Linked DNA regions of Drosophila melanogaster. The protein of the gene in region 2 interacts with the protein of the main gene of each other region in a pairwise test. Each region holds a gene or a part of one and is shown on either strand. Other genes may lie near its edges.

Region 1 (4,998 bases), 690 kb from region 2:
GTCGGTGGAGCTATATATACGAGTACTTGACTATGTATATATATAGACGCGTTTGTGTGTACGTACGTTTAGATTGGAATAAAGTAAGCATTTTATTTAATTGTCTAGTTAATTTCGAATACATATGATAAGTGAACCATTAAAACGGAGTTCTTACTGCGGATTTCGGGGTATGTTTTCCTAAGATAGCACATTTTGTGGTTGCCATCGCTTCTCTCAGTCCGCACAACGTGGCATATCCACTTTGCTTACCTCAATCTTATCGCAGCACCATTTTAGTGGCTAAATTCTTTTCGCATGATAGCAGCCAGTTCTTCGTTCCACTAAGTTTGAATGTTGGCATGGCTTGTGGTTTCAGTTGTATGTTGCTCGATATGGAAAAGCTCCTTGGTTCATCGATTGAAGCAGACCGAGATAATGTGCCCATGTGTCTCGTTAAATTGCTTTCCATTTCATCCTTCACACAGAAACTACCAACACAATAATTATTTCAGCAGTTTGGTAATTAAACTATTTCTTTAATCGTAATTAATGAACATGTAGGTATAGGTAGGATAGTAGGTTCCTTTAACTTATTTGAAAAAGAAGCAAATACATAGATTCGTATCGGTACTACCAGCAGATATTTGAACATTTATGTTATGTTCTTTCTCGATATGTATGTATTTCATGAACCCCGTGACTTTTGTTCCAATTCATTTTAAACCTCGTCTGTCTTTGCAATGTTCGTTTTTTTATTGAGCCTAACAATACGCACGAATACGCTGAATACTTAAAATTGTCAATCAGAATGGTATTATGATTACTTAGTTTATCTTGCTTTTCCTATCACTAATGTTTCCTGCCATTTACATACACATATGTATACGCCAACCGATGAGGTGCATACGTACATAGTGGGGAAAACACTTGTGCTTGCAATTGTCGTTACATCTTAAGTTAGTAAACGTATATTGTTTTTAGTTGCGGCTTCAATTCTGGAGGTATCACTGGAGTGTGTTCCACTTTTCGAGTAACTAGGCGCTTGAACCGTCCACTGAATTGCTTGCGAAATCCCTTAAAGCTGCTCTTATCACTTGAGGCCATCATGTCCTGGAAGAATGAAGAGTATTTTATAAGTATAAAATTTGGTAAAATCTTAGAAACTCCGAAATAAATTAATATCTCTACATTCACTTATTATGTATAATATTTACTTAGTTACACGCTGATTGTGAGTCATATTCTAGTTTTTGCCTTATCGCTAATGCATATTTCAAAACTGCAAAATTTCTAGAACGTGTCAAGTTACTTTTGTTGATTCATTGAATCGGGGAGTTTCCTGAATTTAGTAATGTAAGTGTTTCGCCAAAAAGTCCTTGTACGTTTTATGAATATCTGTGAGATGTGCAATTGTGCAAGCGAGAAAGTGAAAACCGGAAAACAAAAGTGATTTAGCCCTTCCTTAATTATAAACATACGATCCGAGTGAATTTGTTATTTATGAACCCCAGCTGACCTGCGCTTGTATATGCGATTCTCTAATCTTATCTTTGAAATTCCTCGGTATAGATCTATTTATGGCCGAGCGTGCCCAAGCAAAAGCCTATAATATATTGCCAAATGTCCGTATGTACATAGGTTCAAACCGCCATACATACTAATGACTTAAATGGCAATTGCTGAAGTGCAAACAATTTGTTTCCCCTTTATCTTCCGCCAACACACGAGCACAAAGACTAGGAACTAACTATACTGCGTACAGACGACGGTCGCCCGTGGAGTATCTAATAATCGTTACGTCATGATAATCTGCACTGCGGAGGAAACTTGTCGAATGGGCGAATGGGCGAATGGGGTGGGTGGTCTATCTATTACACAGGAACTATGCAGGCGAAGCAAAAAATAAACTACGCCATATACGCTATCTCTTTACAATCTTAATTCGCTCGAAAATATATTATATACCATATTATAAAGTTGTATCTGATCCTAACTTACATGATATTCCAACGCTTTTACTTTCAGTGTGGACTTACCGGACTCAGGCAATTGTAGATGTGCGGTGTGGGCGCCTTTGGGGGGAATGTCCACTCCGTTTGGATGGAGCACCCATTCCCGTTCCCGTTGGCGTCGCAAACAGCTGGTGCATTACTGGTCCTCACGAACGTAACGCTCTGGGTTTGTTTGGCAGGTGCTGAAGATGACGATGGTGTGGTGGATGCGGATGCGGCAGCGGATGGGGCCTTGGCCCTGGTTTTGCCCTCGCTCGATTCCTTCATTCTTATGTGGTCGTCCCAGTAGCGTGTAAATATGTTTTTGGTGTGCTGGACGTCGGTGGACGATGGATGGTGCTGGTGCGGATGCGGGGTGTTCAGATAGTCGGTTACAGAAACATCACGTTGACAACATTTACTGCGGACAAGACGCATCGTTAATTTCCCAGTGATACCCTCGATCGGTGCAAAGTTAGTTCATTTTTAAGGTACACGCGTATCACAGATGGTTTCTATTATATCGGTATGATATGTAAAGACATTTGCTATATGGCTAGCTAAATGTCGAGATGGCGACGGCGATTTCGACCATTGGCGGAAGTGGTTTTCGCTTTTCGGTATACTAATGCCTCGCCTGACTGTTTTGTTATTCGTAGTTTTCTTTTTTTTTTTTTTGTATTCGGGTTGTTTGCAGGTAGGGAGCTGTGTATTTAGCAGCTACGCAGCGTTACAGCGCGACTAGAATATCGATTTTCTGTAATTGGGCTGGCGTTTTGGGTGGTGAGTTAGTCATGATGGCTGCGCACTATACTTTTTAGCTCAGCCCCTACTCCGAAGTTTGGTTATATTCAGCGGTTCCTTTGTTTGTTATGTTTGTTGTTGGGTTTTGGCCAGTTTCTCTATTGCGAGTGCCTTTCCCGAGGTGGTGGTGTATTTATAGGAATGACACTTTTCATCTTTTCAATGCTAGACATAACTTACACAATATAATCAAATTTGTTGTTTTTCACTAGGCCAAGCGGAGGAAAACCGAAACGGAAAAGCAGAATAGCGTAGAAGCAATAAAGCAGAAAAACAGACAGACGTGTCGAGTATTTTCTAGTCGTGGTGCTCGTGCAGGGGAAAAATGCGATTAATGCTGGCACTCTTCACTACAACCACACATCCACACAAATGCGACCGTTGAATGTCTGCACATTTTCTTGAACTGTTCTACACGTAAGTACGCACATTAGATTCGACTTGGACTTCAGTTCGGTTCGGATGGCAGCGAGTATCTGAATCGCACAGAACTCGCACTCGACTGAACAAAACAAAAGCTACGAATCTGACTCATGTGCGCTCGCTTGACTACAGCCACAGCCAACCAAAATCTCAATCGAAAGTCGCTGCGAATGCGAATGTGAGTGTCGTGTGAGTGTAGTGTTCTCTCTCGATCTACCGATATCGATATACCGCACTACACATATATACGTCCCACTCGTATTCGTAATCGTTTTTGTGTTCGTGTGTACTCCTCGCTCTTTTTTCAAGACCTTCTGACGTCAGCTGACATTTAGCGAGCACTGTGTTTTAACCAACACCAATTCGGGTACATTTGCGTGTATTTGGGTATCAGCGGGTGTATAAATAGCGTGTTTTGAGTGATTTACCCCAAGATACAAAAAATCCAGGTTCCGAGGAATACGCTTACGCCAACGATGACCGCTGCGAAACAAATAAAAAAAAACTGCCTAACAACACGATCGCGAATCTCACGCTTTACGAAACGAAACGCTGCTTTAATTTGAGCGTTCCACGCCAAACTATCATCGCACTTAAGCAATTGGCTAGATTGCTAGCCGAGTTAGCCCCTGAACTCCGAGCCCAGTTGCTAAATGGGCCGATCTAAATATTTTTGTTTGCTTGCCCGCTAATTAATTGAAAGCAATCAAGAGATAGGATATAGGTATTGTCAGCGTTGTGCGCCAGTGAACAATGGATCTTTTGCGATATTAGGTATCCATATTTGCATGTTCCGCTTCCACCGTTCCAGCCAAAAGAGCTGCCAGTTTTTGTGGCGTTAGGAATTGCAGCAGTTGAATTTTCGCGCCCACTTTTCCGCTAATTGTTGTCACTCGACTAATTCAAAAACGTCGTGTTTCATTTAGTCTTTATATTAGTTTTATTTCGACTTATTTTTTGTTTTCGCAGGCTCTGAACTGAATATTTTGGCAACCTTTTTGCCAACGAATAAGAGAGCAACTAAGGCGAAAATACTCAAAGTCGCCAGCGATGTTATGTTTTCAGCTGCAAAATAACTTTGCAGTGGGCCCAAAAATTCGTTTCTGAAAAGCACGAAAGTTAAAACATTAGCTCATTTGATCATTGGTTATTAGGATAAACGTTGTGTAGTATTAAATTCGATCTTCTCAAACCAGGAACTGTTTTAACCAGGGTATAATTGATTAATGTAATATTGTTTATGTACAAACTGGATAATATACAACGGTTACGATTAACATTTGGTTCGATATTAATCAACGGAGTGATATTAACAATTGTTTTATGCTCGATGGTGGAATCAGTGTCTATGTTGAATACCCTCAAACTGGCGTTATATGCAACCTTGTACCGGGGACAAAGAATCAGTATTTGTTAACTAATAGTAATTATTAATAGGTTTACAAGTTTTATCTTGGCTCACTTACTAAACACATGTATCAGTTTCTCACAAATCCCTATAAAAAGGTCATAATCGGACTTTGAGTTTAAAATTCGATCGATGGATGAATTTAAAATCATTTTAGCTATGAGAGGAATACTTACACGGCACTTGGGATTGCGGGCACTGGTTGAGGATGGCTCTGGGTATATCCCTTCTCAGCAAACTGGACAAAGGCTTCGGGACTGTATTGCTTGGCTGAATATTTGTACATCTTTCCTTGCCTCAAGCTGTAATGATTATAATTTATATAATCTATTCTTGGACACAACCAAAGCGATCAGGGCTTACAAAATAAAAGCCGGTGCTTCCAATACT
Region 2 (8,906 bases):
GAGCAGCGGTTTCGCCAGACAATTGCACTCCTTCAGTGGCGGGGCATCGGGCTTGAGACGTCGGCACTCGGAGAAAGATGGATATGGCGTCCGGGGCTTCACACACGGCAGGGGTCCTCGTTCCCTTCTGCATGAGGGTGGTCGGCGACCATCGCGATGGCAGCGACGGGCCAGACGGGGACACAGATCCTCCGACGGATCCGGACAAGGCTGCGGGCAGGCGGTCGATGGCTTCGCCGATGGCTTTCGCCGCTTGATAGGAGCCGGCTTAGCCTTGGCGAAACAGCAAATCTTCTTGGGCTTAATCTGGATGGGAGGGCAGGCCACCCATGTCTGCCAGTACTTCCGCTTGGCCTTGTCCGACTCGACGTAGTAGATATCGTCGAAGCGCGGATTGAACGGACAGGCGGTGTCGTCGGGATCACAGAATGGGTTCAGCCACATGGACTGTGCCTTGACCATCTTCCTCTTCTTCTTGGGCGGAGCCTGCAGATTGGGTTTGCCGCAGGGGAACTTGGTCAACACCTTCGGGCACCGGCTCGGCCCCTTCTTTTCACAACCGGATGCAAATCGCACACAGCTGTTAACCGCACCAAAAATTGGACGGAACAGTACTCGGGAGGGATTAACACTCAGTGCCATTTTTGAGCTCTGGAATTTTGAATTTTTAACCGAAATATATTTTCCAAAAGGTTTGGGCCGGAAATTTAGATGGAATTTTGCGAACACGAAACTGGGAGGCTAGAGACCTATCCAGCTCGAGAACGGAATGAGAACTGATGACTCTGGGTTATCCGAAATCACAGTACAACGACTTGGGGCGGAAGTTCGATTCTCGGCTCACTATGTTTACAATTTTGCACCACTTTGGGTAAGGAAGTCTAGAACATTGTAGGGACAACTTGGGGCGTAGAATCGGGCACAGTCCTGGTTATCCATGCGATGCCTGTACTTATCATCGGCCACCTCTTCGGGAACTCTGAAGTATAGTTTATTATGGTTTTAATGGCATTATATATGACAATGAATTATTTTACTTACGTCAGCACAATTCGCATTAGATCCTCCATGAGGAATCCCTGATCTTGACCTGCATTTAACTTGGCCCTTAGTTCACACATGGCTCTCTTGATACAAGACCTTAGGTCCAACTGAAAACTATTAATAGGTTCTTTTAAATTATTCTGTGGATCACTTAAGACTTACACTTTTCCCATGGCCTCGAGTTGATCGAAAATCTCTCTGCGTTCTCTGTATCCACGATGTAACTTCCAACTAGGCACTTGATCCCAGGATTCATAAACTTCTTCCTCCGGTGGATATGAGTTTCTCTGATTTGCAGACAAGCTCCATGGGCTATGATAGAATGAGGCCCTATTCAATGAGGGTCTGAAATATTTTAAAGCCACTTTAGGGTATTTCAAAATGATTAATCTTATATTACCTCGATGTATAAAACTCTTTCCTGCGATTAGTGGGCGAGGATGAATGCCATGAAGCTTGGGGAAATGAATCCCTAGTAGGACATTGAACTTGTAATTATTACCTCTTGAAAGTAATTCATAATAATTTACCTCGATGTTGCTTGGTAGAATGGAACTCTATGATTGTTAGCAGGACTAAAACTTAAAATTTCGAATTTATTTCTTTAACGGTTAAATATATATACTTTACCTTTCGTAATGAGCATTTCTATATGGATCCGCATAGTATGGATAATAGCTTTCAGGTCTTTTGCTATATGACCAATCATACCGGCGTTTTGGCGTTGACATTGGCTTTGGCTTCATCTTCTTTAGGATCTTGGGCTGCCAACCCTCAATGGTGTCGGGAACCGGAACGTACATATCAAACTCCAAGCTGTACTGAAGGCCACTTGGTCGTCCGCCCAAAATTAGTTTGGTTAGGGCGGCGGTCAGGAGAAGGGATGCCTTGTCGGGAAAAACCAAAGCACGCACCCGTCGCGATAGAATGCGATTCTCCAAAGAGGAGCCCACCAGATGGGTTTGATTCCCAATAGCCGCCCTAATGGCTCCGATCAACAGAAGTACCAAAATCGTAGACCTCATGCCGCCACTCTGAGAACTCAACTGATCTGTGTGACAGATACTAGTCGTGGAAAATTAACGCCAGGTGAACAGTGCTAATTAAGAAAGGTGAGCCGACTTACAGCATCAGGTGTGCCTTGATTCGTACGCACCTTACATGTCACCTCGATTTGTTGGGAGCGGATTCAGTTCGTTACACGCCGCCTCTTTGGAAGCAGGCTACATTTTGGCATTCCAATACTAAAACTTACACAATTCCCTAATTCTTTTAATAAAATTTCTAAAACTGTAAAAAAAAAAAAAATATCTTCCGAGAATGGTTAACATCCACGGTGGCACTCGGATGATGGTGAACCGTTGCATCGAGCTCCTCCGTGCGCGGATCGAATGCGCCTCAACGCGTCACATTGCCAGGCGTTCCCAGCGGCCCAGAGTGGGCAGCCAATACCTGCCAGACGATCAGATACTCAGGGAGCGGGAGAAAGCGGATGTGTACAAGAAGAACAAGCGACGCTCCATGTGGGAGCAGGACGAGGGCCACGGACGCATCTCGGTCGGGGACGATCAGGAACGCTTCGATAACGAGCAGTACCATCCGCGCGAACTGGAGAAGCGCAAGTACGAGTGCACCTGGGTTAATTTCCCGGACAGTGTGGCGACCAAACGAAATCGTAGACGGGACTTTCTGGAGTCGATGGAAACTGAGGCTCCTCGACGCCGCCGAGCCCAGGTGCCTATTTTTTGGAATATTTCAAACAAAAATCAATTTGAAATAATCTTTTTTGCAGGAAGAAAGACCGAGTACGGCAAAGCCATGTGACGACGAGGCCCGTGCCTTTATCAACCAATGGGACACCAATGCGGCGATGATCCAACGCAACAAATTTGCTCGTGCCACCGATAGCTGTCCACCACCCATTGTATCTCTCCGGTTGTCAAACGCCTACAGCACCCGAAAACGTCAGTTCTTATTCTAAACCGTTTATATTTGACAGTTGTATTCGCATCAGAAATTCTAGCAATCGCTCATTCTTGTAGCCTGATCAAATTGATAGTGTCGAAGGCATCAGATTTTAAAGCGTCCAAATCCGAAAATGTAACTGTAAAAATGTAACACATCTGCACTAGATGTGATATTTGTTACTAATAAAATATTTAAGTGTATTTGTCTTCGTCAAAAGCGGAGAGGGAATTTGAGAAGTTCATCACAGCTTGGCTAAAATTGGTCTCAGAGACTTAATAAGAACTATTTCTTACAGCTTTTTACCAATGCTTATTATTTTTATCAACTTTTGGTGAAATAAAAAAAAAAATTTTTTTTTTTCTATTTTCACATTTTTTATAAGGGGTAACAACGTCTATTTTTTTCAAAAAACGTCAAAAAAATAAAATTACCAAATTTGAACTCCAACCAATTAAGGGCTTAATTACAAGTTCATCGAGATATGTCATTCGATATTTTCCAACGCTTTTGACAAAAAATCTGATAATTATTTGACAAAAAATTACAAAAACTACTTCTGTCTAATTGAATAAAAGTGAATTCTTTCTATCCAAATAACAAAGAAATAAATAAAAAACGTTCCCATGTTTCAAATCCCATATTTCGGTCAAAATGGTTTGTGTCGGGACTGGAGATTTACCCAAGCTTACCACCGCTCCATAATTGTTTACGCACAATTCTTTAGTATATATCTCCGAGTGGAATGATATATTTTTGTAACGGCCATTCCGCGGTCACACTTAATATCACGTTCAATTGTTTATTATTCGGCGGTTGGGATTTAATTGTTTTTCGGCGATGGCGCTTCTCAGAAACGCGTCCCAGAGCTTCTTGGGCAGTTTCCGGCGCTTTGCCAGCAGCGGATGCACCATCTACAGCCTCAGTTCCGGTCATGTCAAGTGCGGTGTGTCCGTGATCCGTGTCTCCGGGCCGCAAACAAAGAAGGCCCTCCGAGCAATTGTTGCAAACAAAGAATACGAGCCAAAGGCAAGTCAATCGATATAAACGTTTATTATTCCATATATGAGGGGTCGTGACCTGTGCAGTGTATAGTTTTGTTTTCTAGTATCCAAAATATATGTATGCAAATGAAAAGACCTGTTGCTTATTTATATACATTTTGGGAGATGTATCCTGTATAAAAATAAACAAATTTCTCCTAACTTACATATAATTGACTAAATAAATTGAATAATTTCGTGAACTGCTTAATTTGTTATAATTGGCAAGCTGCCAGGTTTTAAGACGAGAGACCTCTATGATAGTGAAACTTATAGTTCCCTTTATAAATACTTTTCCATATAGGCTCGTCAGGCGTATCTGAAATCCTTCTACCATCCCGCCAGCAAAGAGATGATTGACCGTGGGCTCTTACTTTGGTTTCCGGGACCGGCTTCTTTCACTGGCGAGGATTCCTGCGAGTTTCAGGTACACGGGTCCCTGGCAGTCATTGCGGCCATGTTGGATGCTCTGGGAAAAGTGGATGGATTGCGGCCGGCGGAGCCGGGAGAGTTCACAAAGAGAGCGTTCTTTGGTGGCAAACTGGATTTGACAGAGGTGGAGGGATTGGCCGATCTTATCCATGCTGAAACGGAGGCGCAAAGAAAGCAGGTAGACAGTGGACTTAGGGTCTCATAAATTTTGTTTCAAGTCTCTTCTTTCTCCAGGCACTGCTACAAAGCACTGGAGCACTGGCTCGACTCTACGACAACTGGCGCCGTCGACTTATTCGCTGTGCTGCCCATTTGGAGGCCTACATAGACTTCGCCGAAGAGGAGCAAATCGAAGGCGGCATCATCCTGCAACTCGGCAAAGAACTAAAGGCGGTAAAGCGTGAGATTCGCGAGCATTTGAGTGACCAGCGGCAGGGAGAGCTCCTCCGCGACGGAGTCCGCACTGTGATCATTGGAGCACCCAATGTTGGCAAGAGTAGTCTGCTCAATCTCCTCTGCCAGCGATCCGTGTCCATAGTGACGGATCAGGCGGGCACCACAAGGGATATTATAGAAACAATGCACAATTTCGGAGGATACCCGGTGGTATTTTCCGACACAGCCGGATTACGCCGATATACTACGGATAGTATAGAGCAGGAGGGAATGCAGAGAGCCAAGAATTGTCTAGTCCAATCTGATTTGATATTGCTCCTAGCAGAAGCCAAGAACATTGCACAGCTGACGCACGACGACGCAGTTGCTCCGTTTGTAGATAGCTATCTGGGCGAGTTGGATATACCTCTGGACATGTGCTCAGGGAAACGTCTGCAATTGGTGGCCAATAAAACCGACACTTTGACGGATGAGGAGCATCAGCAGCTGGACAAGCTGTCCAACGTGTTAGCCATATCATGCCATAAGCCCGATAAGATGCCCGTGTTTCTGGGATCACTGGAGAAGCAGCTGCAAGAACTGTGCGGAGAACCGCGGGCGGAGAATCCACGCATCACAAACACACGCTACCGTCAGCAACTGGAGCGCTGCATTGAGAACATTGATATTTTTCTACGAGATTACAGACCCGACGTTTACCCGGACATGGCCATAGCCGCCTCCAAGCTGCGCAACTCCGTGCGCTGCATCGAACGCATCACCGGACACATCAGCTGCGAAGATATACTCGACGTGGTCTTCAAGGACTTTTGCATTGGAAAGTGAAGAGATAGTTTATAGTTGTGAGTTGCGAAGATTACACTGCCCATGTTGAGTATTGAATAAAATATTCATTTGTACCCTAGAGTTTTGATAAGCATAATAAATTAACATTTCTGCACGGATAAGAAAGATTGGAATTACATTTATTTCTAAAACCAATCCTTACATTTTCATATAAATATTTTTTTGATCAGAAAAAAGGTTTTTCAAAATTACGTTACTTTTAGAGTGACCTTAACTTTGGAGTTGACCATTCCGCAGTCGATAGCGATATGGGCACACAGTGTGATATTGTTTACGTGTTTTACTCGAAGAGATTTGTTTTTCTTAGAAAAATATGTCATCCTGGATCACAGGACTGGCGGACAAGGCCGAAAACATTTTGAACAAGCTGGACCAAAATGCGGCAACGGCCCTGCAGACAGAGAACGCCACAGGTTCAGCGGATCCCATGCGTAGGAGCATGACGAGCAGCACCCAATCACTGTCCACATCCCTGAAGTCCACTCTGTCGCCAGTGCGGCGCTCGGGGGCCAATAGCTCATCAAGTGTAAAAAGCGATGGCGGGGTCTCCGTGGTCACTAAGGACATGCGCCAAAAGATGACCACGTCGGCCAGTTTCTCCAACAGTCCCGACATATCCGCCAACTCAATGGACACAAATGAATTGGCTGCCTTCAAGATCGCCCTGAATGAAATCACGGCCGAAAGAGATGAACTGCGTCTGCGCTTGGAAGATCTTAATAACGAAACCGAAAAGTTTGATCTGCATCAACACACCCAGGTGCTGGAAGCTCTGGTTAAAAGTCTGTCCGAAGAGCGGGACAAGGCGGTTCATGACTACAATGAGGCCCAGGCAGCTAACATGGCGTATGTGCACTCCATCTCCGAACTGGAAACCAATCTGGCCAAGTTGCAGCAGGAATACATAAGCGCCGCTCACAAATTGCAAATGCAAACAAAGGAAACGGAGCAGCAGCGCCAGGAGCTTCAGGAATACCGTATCAAGGCTCAGCGAGCTCTGCAAGCAAAGGATTCCCTCATCGCAGAGTTGAAGGCGAAGCCCACGGAGGAGGGCGCAGATCCAAACCTGGTGTCCAAGGACAGTGAAACGCGTTTTCTGCAAATTGAACACGAGTCACTTAAGCAAGAACTAGAGCATGCCAACGAGGAACTGCAAAAGGCGCGCTTGCAGCTGGACGATTACGTTTCCCAGGAAAGACAACGACAGGTGGAACTAAGCTCTGCCCGCCAACGCGAGGAAACACTAGCAAAGGAGTTGCGACAGGCAAGGGAACACAGTGTGACCTCCGAATCCGATCAGCGAGTGCTCACGCAGGAACTGGCCTCACTGCGGCAGCAACTTAGTAACCAAATGGCTGCTGCCGCCACTCGACTCCAGGAGCGGGAGCAGCAGCTTCAGCAGATGCGTCAGCGATTGAGCGAGGAAGCCAACACGGGAGCCAAGAGCGATTACGAGACTCGGCTAAAGGCTTTAACCCAATCACTGGTCGAACGTCAAAGTCTTCTGGAAAGAGTTACGAGTGAGAGAAATGCCCTGCGACTACAGCACGAAAAGGCACAGACGCAGCTACAGCAAAACATGCACTTGGTGGAAATGGAGAGCCAAAGGGGCAGCTCCCGCCATACTATGCTCAACAGCACAGATGATGGTAAGTCTAACATTCTGCGAGTACCAGAAATTACATAAATATGAGTTCTACCTAGTCAAAGCACAATTCCCGCTTCTCATGCATCCAAGTCCATTCGATAATCGTGTGGCACGACGCTTCAAGCGAGCCCTTCGCCAGGCGGACTCCATGGGTATTCGGGTGGGAACGTTTCTGCGTCGCTATCCCATGATGCGGGTCTCTGTGATCGTCTACGTGGCCCTACTACATCTGTGGGTCATGTTTGTGCTGCTCTCCACTACACCAAACTAATCGAATCAAATACATTTAGTTGAGCAATTGTTGTATTTCCATAATATTGTATGTATTGTATTTTACGCGCCAAAATTGGATATCTAGTGGTACGAGTATATGTGTCATGTTTGTGGTTGCAACAATTGTATATATCGATATTATACTTGTGTCTCGCACTCGTTCTAAATTCAATATTCAATAAACATCAACTATGTACAGAAATTGCAATTGATTTAACGCTAAAAACATCCAGCAAACAAGTAACAAGACCGAAAAAATTAGCACTACTAAGTTAGGATTAGAACGATTCCTCACAGTTCAAATATTGCATAAAGAATCCATCTACAGATGCTGTAAAATTGTTAAGTAAACGTGAATTAGTTTAACTTCAGTTTAACTCCAGTTGCTGGGCAGAGCTGATAGTTCTAGCTAAGCGGAAGAAAATAGAGAGTATACGCTTTTGGGACGATTCGCGTAAAACATGCGCTATATGCCCCGCAAGTTTTTATATCAGTCATCGGCATGGTAGCTCACATAGACAGCATCGCCTCCGATGCTAATCAGGCACTGGCCCTAAGAATACAAGATTTCAGTATAAAAACTTTAAGGTAAGTAGATCATTGTGTTTGCCTTACCTGATTCTTGTGCTGATTATCGAACAACATAAGTTCGGTGATGTAAAAAGAGACCATGGCATTTCCGCCCAGCGAAGCGATGTGTGCTCTCACCACAGCCAACAGTTCGGTAATGAAGCCATGGACAAATCCGCTGATGCCACCATTTTCCCGGATCGACGTGCTCTCCCGAATAAAGAAAAAGTTTAGGTTGCCCAAATATTTATCTATACGACCACCAGGTATGAAACTTAGTGGCGTCACATCCACTCCATAACGATCTCGCAGCGGAAACTGTCAAGGAAATATAATATTAATATAAAGACATCATTAATATTTAATGTTCTTACATAACGGCTACGTTGAACAGATCCAACGTTCAATGGCTTAACTCCGGTTGAAGGCAATCCCGAAACGAGATTGTTAAGACGTGATGGTGAAGTTTTTCGCATTTTGAATGAGCTCATTCCGAATGGCGGAATAGCGGTGCTGGTTGGCGTGGGTGTGTCCACCATCTGATCCTCGTCCAGCGGAAATATGTAATCCTCCTCTTGCAGCATTCGTTTTCCGTTTAACTCTGGCTGAGATTGAGTGGCGTGCACCGTGCCATCATGATATCCGTTCTGCTGTTGAGGTGCCTGCTGCTGCTGAGCCGGGCGTCCACG

Evidence for each region. The genes of interacting proteins can lie anywhere in the genome.
Region 1: the proteins of CG18528 (region 2) and CG11791 interact in a two-hybrid assay, tested with the Drosophila melanogaster proteins (one large-scale study listed by BioGRID).

What each region holds. Positions count from the first base shown.
Region 1 is NT_033777.3:25,048,577-25,053,574, reverse strand, and holds CG11791 (uncharacterized protein), read right to left. Parts: upstream 3,333-4,998; 5' UTR 2,412-3,332; coding exon 2,019-2,411; intron 1,093-2,018; coding exon 940-1,092; 3' UTR 501-939; downstream 1-500. Other genes in the region: CG11790 (uncharacterized protein), read right to left, coding at 4,141-4,303, 4,785-4,910, 4,972-4,998.
Region 2 is NT_033777.3:24,355,010-24,363,915, reverse strand, and holds CG18528 (uncharacterized protein), read left to right. Parts: upstream 1-3,771; 5' UTR 3,772-3,849; coding exon 3,850-4,038; intron 4,039-4,356; coding exon 4,357-4,662; intron 4,663-4,718; coding exon 4,719-5,705; 3' UTR 5,706-5,821; downstream 5,822-8,906. Other genes in the region: CG33340 (uncharacterized protein), read right to left, coding at 1-642; CG33339 (uncharacterized protein), read right to left, coding at 850-979, 1,042-1,158, 1,207-1,389, 1,445-1,516, 1,575-1,619, 1,675-2,069; CG5762 (uncharacterized protein), read left to right, coding at 2,365-2,778, 2,837-3,025; Golgin84 (Golgin-84), read left to right, coding at 6,040-7,375, 7,431-7,645; CG6454 (uncharacterized protein), read right to left, coding at 8,138-8,200, 8,263-8,535, 8,592-8,906.